2 linked regions of the Rattus norvegicus genome follow. The protein of the gene in region 1 interacts with the protein of each later gene in a biochemical or structural test. Links are inferred from orthologs where the notes say so. Each region holds a gene or a part of one and is shown in the gene's direction. Other genes may lie near its edges.

Region 1 (3,816 bases):
TCTTGCCTAACCAGCAGCCCAATCCTGGGCAAGTGCTCTTGACTCCCACTCTGTATAAGGAACAGAGTGCTGGCTCTGATGCCCAGGGGTGTCTTTTGGAGGGGATGTGCAGTGGTCTCTACCTGTCTTCACCTTTTTCTCTTTCTCTCTTTGCTTGCTGCTGGTAGCTGGACCCTGTGGCCGCCTCTCCTGCCCACAGCCAGGTAGGGTGCTCCTGCCCCACCCAGGAGCCCTCTGCTTTCTCCAGTGACAACCCACCACCCCCACCCTACACCTGGGCTGGCGTCTGTGCTCGGGCCTCCTGCTGGAGTGTAAGGCCTCGTTCCCTCTAGGTTCCCACTTTATATTGGGGTACCCAGGGGAGCTGAGATGGTGCAGGTGTGGCCCTTGGGGAACTTCATGGCCCCAGCTTTGCCTCTCAGCCACTGGAGCCCAGATGTTGCCACCCTGATCACTCTCTGGAGGAAAGCACTAGAAAGACCTTTCTTCCTCCCTTAGCCCCAGCCTGAAGATGAGACAGACGGTCTCTGTCTCCACCTCCTGGTCAGTGTGAGAAACTTGTTCTCAGACAGGCCATGACCCTTTGATGTCACCAGAACACAAGTTTCACTTGGTTCACACGTGATTTGGAAAAGACAAAACACTGGTGATTTAGTTTTTGCGAGTCTCTCTCTCTAACCCCGGCTCTTCTAGGACTTTTTATATAGACCAGGCTGGCCTTGAACTCAGAGCCTGCGTCTGTTTCCTGAGTGCCGGGATCAAAGGCCTGCACCAATACTTCTTGTTCAATCCTTTAAATATTAAAAGATTAAAAGCCCAGCATTTAAAATTTTTCTCACTTAGACAAACCAAGCATTGACAGCTTTGTTATGATCAACCTATTGATCTCCCTCCTTTTCAATCTAAGAAACGTGATAAAGATCACACAATATTTCTGCCTTCATGTTTCTTGCCATCTTCTGATCCCTCACCCAGGGTTAAGTGTCATAGGATGGGGTCTGTGCCTCAGTTTGGGGTCTCATGAGAAAGGGACACACCTAGGGTGAGAATCTGCATGTTGCCATCTGGGGAGAGTGTTGGAGTCAGTGTTAAGCCTGAGGGCGTCTGCTTCTGGGGTGGCCAGCCTCCCCCAAGGTGCCATGACATTGCTGACGTTTTGCAGCCATTGTATCAAGGTCCCTTTTTGGTCCCAGTTCCTCTGGTGCCACTGTTCCCTAGTTCAGGTGTTCTTATTAGAGGGTGTCAGATCTGATAGCCCCACATCTCTGCTATGAATGCCTGTTTTGATCAGTGATCTCTGACCTCTGTTATCAATGTCTATTTTGATCTCTGACCTCTGGGGCTTCCCAGTCCTTTCACTCCTACTTCTGTGCTCCCTGTCTTTGACCAGTCAGCTCTGTCTCGTGCCCATGCCACCCTGTGACCGCATGTGACACTAATATGCCCACTAGGCTTGTGCAGCTACAACCTTCCAAGTCCACAAAGGGGACTTGGAGGAGAAGGGCACTATGTCCTTGCCAACATAGAGCGTCTTCAGGTGAGAGCCCAGGGCCTCTATTGTTCCCTAATGCAGAATCCATCTCGGGAGAAGAGCCCTTTCTTTTGGCATAAAAGAACCCATGACTGGGGCCAGAGTTCAGGGCTGAGTCAGGATGCAGATCTCATAGGCTCCCAGGGAGGAAGGAAAGAGGCAGCTGGAGATGGAGCCCGGTGACTCGCTTCCCTGGTATCTGTTCTCCCCTGGCCACAGTGAACCCTCAAAGTTACAGTCCCTGGTCTCACTGTCTTTGTTCTCAGCGCTCCTGGCTTCCTACCCTCCTTTCCTAACCCCTCTCACACTCCCGTGTCCTGTGTCTCCTGCCTGACTTTTCCACTTGCCCATTGGCTCAACTTGAAGCCCTTTCCTCCCTTGTCTCCTCATTCTTGCTGTCCTTGTCTCTTACCTTTTAAAGCAATGTCTTTTGTCCCTCCCTTCCCTCTGACAGGCCAAGACAGAAGAGCAGATTGCCGCTGAAGAGGCCTGGTATGAGACGGAGAAGGTGTGGCTGGTCCATAGAGATGGATTCTCCTTAGGTGAGTCTTTGAACATGGGCTACAGATGGTGAGACTTGAGTCAGAACTGGCATGAGGGAATGCCTCTGCTTCTGGTAAGGCCTGGTCGGCAGCAAGGAGAGGCTGGTGAGCCAGTGGGGAAGAAAGCAGGACGGACAAGAAGGCCTAAGTAGAGTAGTAGAACCTCCCAGGCCCAAGTCCAACTACCCCTGCTCTGCAGCCAGCCAGCTCAAGTCGGAGGAGCTCAGCCTACCCGAGGGGAAGGTGCGCGTGAAGCTAGACCACGATGGAGCCATCCTGGATGTGGATGAAGATGACGTAGAGAAGGTTGGAAGGAGCTTCTGGCAAGGGAGGTCACAGGGAGGGCAGGCCTGTCCCCTGCGTTGGAGATGAGATCGGTGTCTTCACTGTCTGTCTTCCCAGGCTAACGCTCCCTCATGTGACCGACTAGAAGATCTGGCCTCCTTGGTGTACCTCAACGAGTCTAGCGTCCTGCATACACTGCGCCAGCGCTATGGGGCCAGCCTGCTACACACCTATGCCGGCCCTAGCCTGCTTGTCCTTAGCCCCCGAGGGGCTCCTGCTGTGTATTCAGAGAAGGTGTGCCTTCCTCTGGACCCACCCACCCACCTGCCTCATCCTACCTTTTCTGGTTCTCTACTCTTCCTCTTTATATCCACTGAGTTCATAGTTGACCCCGGTAGAGGAGTCAAAGGGTAGGGCCAGAGGGATATCCTGCAGTCTTATAGAGTTACAGACTCTATTTCCATGCATGGCCTGGCCCTCAAAATACCTGGGCATCTCTAGAGCGACATTACGGAAACATGTAAGCCCTAGAGAAGAGCAGGTGGGTCCGGCCGTAAGAGCCTCTTCCTTCCCTCTATGCCTCTCCTGTTCTAGGTGATGCACATGTTCAAGGGGTGTCGGCGGGAGGACATGGCACCCCACATCTATGCTGTAGCCCAGACTGCATATAGGGCCATGTTGATGAGTCGTCAGGACCAGTCCATCGTCCTTCTGGGCAGTAGTGGCAGTGGCAAGACCACCAGCTCTCAGCATCTGGTGCAGTATCTGGCTACCATTGCCGGCACCAGCGGGAACAAGGTGTTCTCAGGTGAGGCAGGCAGCAGGGAAAACAGACAAGAGAAGTGGGGGCGGGGGGGGGGGAGAACAATCCACCAAGATGCTGCCTCTTTCCCCCTGGGTTCCTTATCCCTGAATAACTCCTCAACCCCAATCCCTGGGCAGCTGTTTCTGGGGCATTCTGGAGCCCATGCCTTGGGGATAAGCTGTTCTTGGTTTTCCTGATGTCCCCTGGGTCTGTGCTCTGCAGTGGAGAAGTGGCAGGCTCTGGCCACCCTCCTGGAAGCCTTTGGGAACAGCCCTACCATCATGAACGGCAGTGCCACCCGCTTCTCCCAGATCCTCTCCCTGGACTTTGACCAAGCTGGCCAGGTGGCTTCAGCCTCCGTCCAGGTAAGGGGCACTGCCAAGGCCTCGAAAGCAAAGATGGAGCCCTGGGTCTTACTCTCCAGCGCCTCATTGACTTGGGATTCTGATAATGAAATGAATCTCATGACACAGGCAGTGTTGGCCTAGACTGTCCCCATTCTGCCCCCCCAAGTCTCCTGTCCGACTCTTTTTCCCCTCTCCACTGTATTGCTGGGAACCCCAACCTGCTCTGCCCACTCTCTGAGACCCAGGGCCTTGGGACTTCTGTAGGCGAGAGCCCACACTTGATGATAGCGTAAGGCCCAGGCACAC
Region 2 (3,816 bases), on another chromosome or scaffold:
AGGTGGTCTTCTGATTGAAGGTTGGGGATGTCGTCCGTGCCATGAGTGAGGTGAAGGACACTATCTGTAGCCACTGAGCCTTTTGCTTTGTTTTGCTTCCAGGAGTAGTAAGAGTTGGGTACTACCTGGATGCATTATTTATGTATTTATTTATTTTTTATTCTCTCAGAGCTGTGTATACAAACACAGCTAGTTAGTTCTACCTCTTGAACTAAAAATGTAGCTGCTTGGTACTGCCAGTTTTTATTAGTCTTTCCCATAGATTTTAACTACCTTATTAAAAGTGGCTGACTTTGCTAGATAGGAGAGATTTTTGCTGGGATACACATAAAAATGCTGTGAGTATGTAGTCCTCTAGTAGGCTCTTGTACTAATTTCTTTTAGAGAAACAAGGCCAAGTTTTTCTCTACCTCCTGACTCAGCAGTTTCCCTGCTAACTTGTTTATACCATACTCTGCCATGGATTCACTGGAGAACCAGGCTGGCCGACGTTGATCGCAGTCACTTGGTACAGTCCTGGTCTACTTTGCCTCTAAGATACTTAATCCCCTGTAGCATTGTTATCTGGTCAGTTCTCTCTCTCTCTCTCTGTCTCTCTCTCTCTGTCTCTCTCTCTCTCTCTCTCACACACACACACACACACAGACACAGACACAGACACAGACACACACACACACACCAGTTCTTTTGGGTCAGTTTTCCTCAGCTTAAAAACAAAACCTCAACAACAAAAACTTTCTCTGATAATTCTTTTTTTTTTTTCTCTCTTTTTTTTTTTCGGAGCTGGGGACCGAACCCAGGGCCTTGCCAGGGCCTTGCTCTTGCTAGGCAAGCGCTCTACCACTGAGCTAAATCCCCAACCCCTCTCTGATAATTCTTGATCATGCTTTTGTAAACTCATGATATGAATTTTACTAGGAGGTTATCAAAACACTGGACTACTCTGTTGCTTGCTGCGTCTCTTTGCTTTATCTATCTTGTCTGTTTCTCATAAGTCCCAGAAACCGTGGCACAAATTTTTTTATCCCCCTTCGGAGCTGAGGACCGAACCCAGGGCCTTGCCATGCTAGGCAAGTGCTCTACCACTGAGCTAAATCCCCCAGCCCCAGCACAAATTTTTTTAAATCTTTTTTTCCTCATCTATTTTGCACGTGAGTTACTCAGTTTTTCACTAAATATAACTCTGAACTCTGTAGTAAAGACCTTGTTTTGCCCACACATCTCTGGTTGACGCATGACATGAGAACAGTTGAGACATTTGTATTTAATCCCTCTTCTATCTGTCATCAAAGATAAACTGCTAAACTCTGTCCAGGTGGATTTTCAGACTTGTACGGCTAACCATACCCATTTTACTTTATGAAGTGTATATTTTGTCTACATTTTGGTGTTTTGAGTTGGAACCACATTTGTGTGTTCAGGCCCCTGAGAAACATAGAGCTGTAACTTAACTTCATGTGGAATCAATTCCCAGGCTTCCCACATCTTTAATTATTCCAGATCTTAATTCCCTTTATGACTGGTTGCTTATTCCCTCTGACTCATTGCTTAGTCTGACAATCTTCATTTTAGCAAATCTCAAAACTAGTCTACTTCCTTGATTTCACATTGAAATCGGCCTTTTTGATGAAAAAGAAACCTTTTTTAAAAATTTTATAAGTACACTGTAGCTATCTTCAGACACATCAGAAGAGGGCATTAGAACCCATTATAGATGTTTATGAGCCACCATATGGTCGCCCCAAAAGAAACCTTTTTTTAGACAGGATCTTTTTGTTATGTGCTTCTGGTTATCCTGGATCTCACTGTGTAGAGACCATGTGTATCTATCACAGATATTTACCTGCCTCTGCCTCCTGGGTGCTGAAATTAATAACCATGCCTGACAAAACTAGTTTTGTTTATTCCCTTTAGTTTTCTTTAAATGATCTCCTGCCAAAAGCTCTTATTAAAAGTGGTATTTTGAACTAGAGAGAAGTCACTGACTGCTCTTCCATAGGACCCGGATTTGATTTCCAGCACCCATTATGGCAGCTCACAACTGTCTGTAACTCCACACACAGAGAGATATAGTAAATATATAGCCAAAACACCAATGCACATAAAATAAAAATAAATAATTTTAAAAAGTGGTATCTTGGGAGTTGCACTAAAGTTCCTGCATCATTAGTGAAGTCCATGAGCTCTAGTGGTCAGTCGTCCTCTTAAATATGGGCTCCTCACTTTAACCTGGGTGAATTCCAGGAAGCCTTCCCTATGTGGTACAGGCTGGCTGTCTTGAAGGCTGGAGGTATGAGCCACCATGCCTGGACTGAATTTTTATTTATTTAAAATTGTTAGTTTATTTTGTGTATATAAATGTGTGTTTTGTTTCTATGTATGTCTGAACTATGTGTTTGCCTAGTGCCCAAGGAGCCCAGAAGAGGGCATTGGATCTCTGGGAACTGCAGTTACAGTTTTGAGCCACCATGTGGATGCTAGGCACTCTGGTTTTATGTAGGGGCAGTTAGTACTCTTAATCTCTGAGCCATCTCTCCAGCCCTGACCTTGAACTCTTGAGCCATTAGAATGACTCCATATGCCCAGTGCTAGAATTATAGGTGTGTACTACCCTACCCAGCCTGACTTCTATACTTCGTTGTTTATCCATGTGTAAGAATGTGGTTAAAAAGACAACCCTTCCCCAGACCCCAGATTAACAACATGCTAACAGTGCATCTTAGCATTTTGTTATAAGAAGACATATGTGGCTTTGGCTAAAGATATTTTTACTTTTGACTCAAGGTAAATTAGCTGTTTTGTTTTCTTTGTTCTTTTTAAATAGGGTTACACATCATTTTGGAATGACTGTATATCATCTGGATTACGTGGCTGTATGTTAATTGAATTAGCTTTGAGAGGAAGGTTACAGTTAGAGGCTTGTGGAATGAGAAGAAAAAGTCTTTTAACAAGAAAGGTAAGAGGACTTCTGAATAATACCCTCTTTACAAGAATTGTTTTCTGTTTAAATGATGAATATTTCTAATAGCTTTACAATATTTAAATAGTTTAAAATTGTCGTTATTGGATTGCATTCTTGGTTTTTCTGTCTTTTTGCATATGCAACATGATGCTACTCACTGTTAGGATTGATGACCACTGTGCTTTAGGGAGATACCCAGTTTTATTTGCTTCTGAAAAAGTCGTAAGTTTGAAAACCTTGATATGACTTTTAAAAGAATCCTGTGGAACTGAATTACTCAGGACATTAATCTTTTTGGAAGACTGGAATTGATTTTTATTCCTCTTCCTATGGTGAAGGTGTAGGTGGGTACTTTTGTGGTAGAACAGGATATAGTTTTTGGATTTTTATCTTCAGACTTAATCTCAGAGGTTCACAGTTTCTCTTCCAGTCTGTTTTTTGCTTTGGGCATGGTATTTCAAAACCATTTTTTCTTCTGTAGTTGTATTATATTTGTAAATCTAAAAATTAGGCCAGAACCAAATATCTTGTTATTGTTTAGTTTTATTGTTCTTTTGTTTTTTGTTTTAAGACAGTCTTTGCTTTTTAACCAAGGCTGACACATGCTGGTCTTGATCTAGAGATCCTCCCACATGCACCTCCAGAGCTCTAAGATGACAAGCCCGTGCCCTCATTTCCTATTCTGAATACTGTCCGACTGATAAAACCAGAGTGATCATTTTATAAGAAAGCCAGCCAGCCAGCCATTAATGTGTTAGTGAAAAGAAATAATGCATGAAATAATATGACCTAAATAATAGTAGTTGCTGGGTTGTGGTCAGAAGAGACTTGTTTCCTAGCCATGTGTGCTTATT

The links.
Region 2: the proteins of Myo18a (region 1) and Golph3 form a complex in vitro, tested with the Homo sapiens proteins (2 studies listed by IntAct). The link is inferred for Rattus norvegicus from reciprocal best matches to the Homo sapiens genes MYO18A and GOLPH3.

Annotation. Positions count from the first base shown.
Region 1 is NC_086028.1:63,204,171-63,207,986, forward strand, and holds part of Myo18a (unconventional myosin-XVIIIa), read left to right. Parts: intron 1-167; coding exon of another isoform or gene 168-311; intron 312-1,985; coding exon 1,986-2,073; intron 2,074-2,272; coding exon 2,273-2,379; intron 2,380-2,475; coding exon 2,476-2,652; intron 2,653-2,952; coding exon 2,953-3,166; intron 3,167-3,385; coding exon 3,386-3,528; intron 3,529-3,816.
Region 2 is NC_086020.1:63,088,559-63,092,374, forward strand, and holds part of Golph3 (Golgi phosphoprotein 3), read left to right. Parts: intron 1-2,824; coding exon 2,825-2,956; intron 2,957-3,816. UniProt on the Homo sapiens protein: Phosphatidylinositol-4-phosphate-binding protein that links Golgi membranes to the cytoskeleton and may participate in the tensile force required for vesicle budding from the Golgi.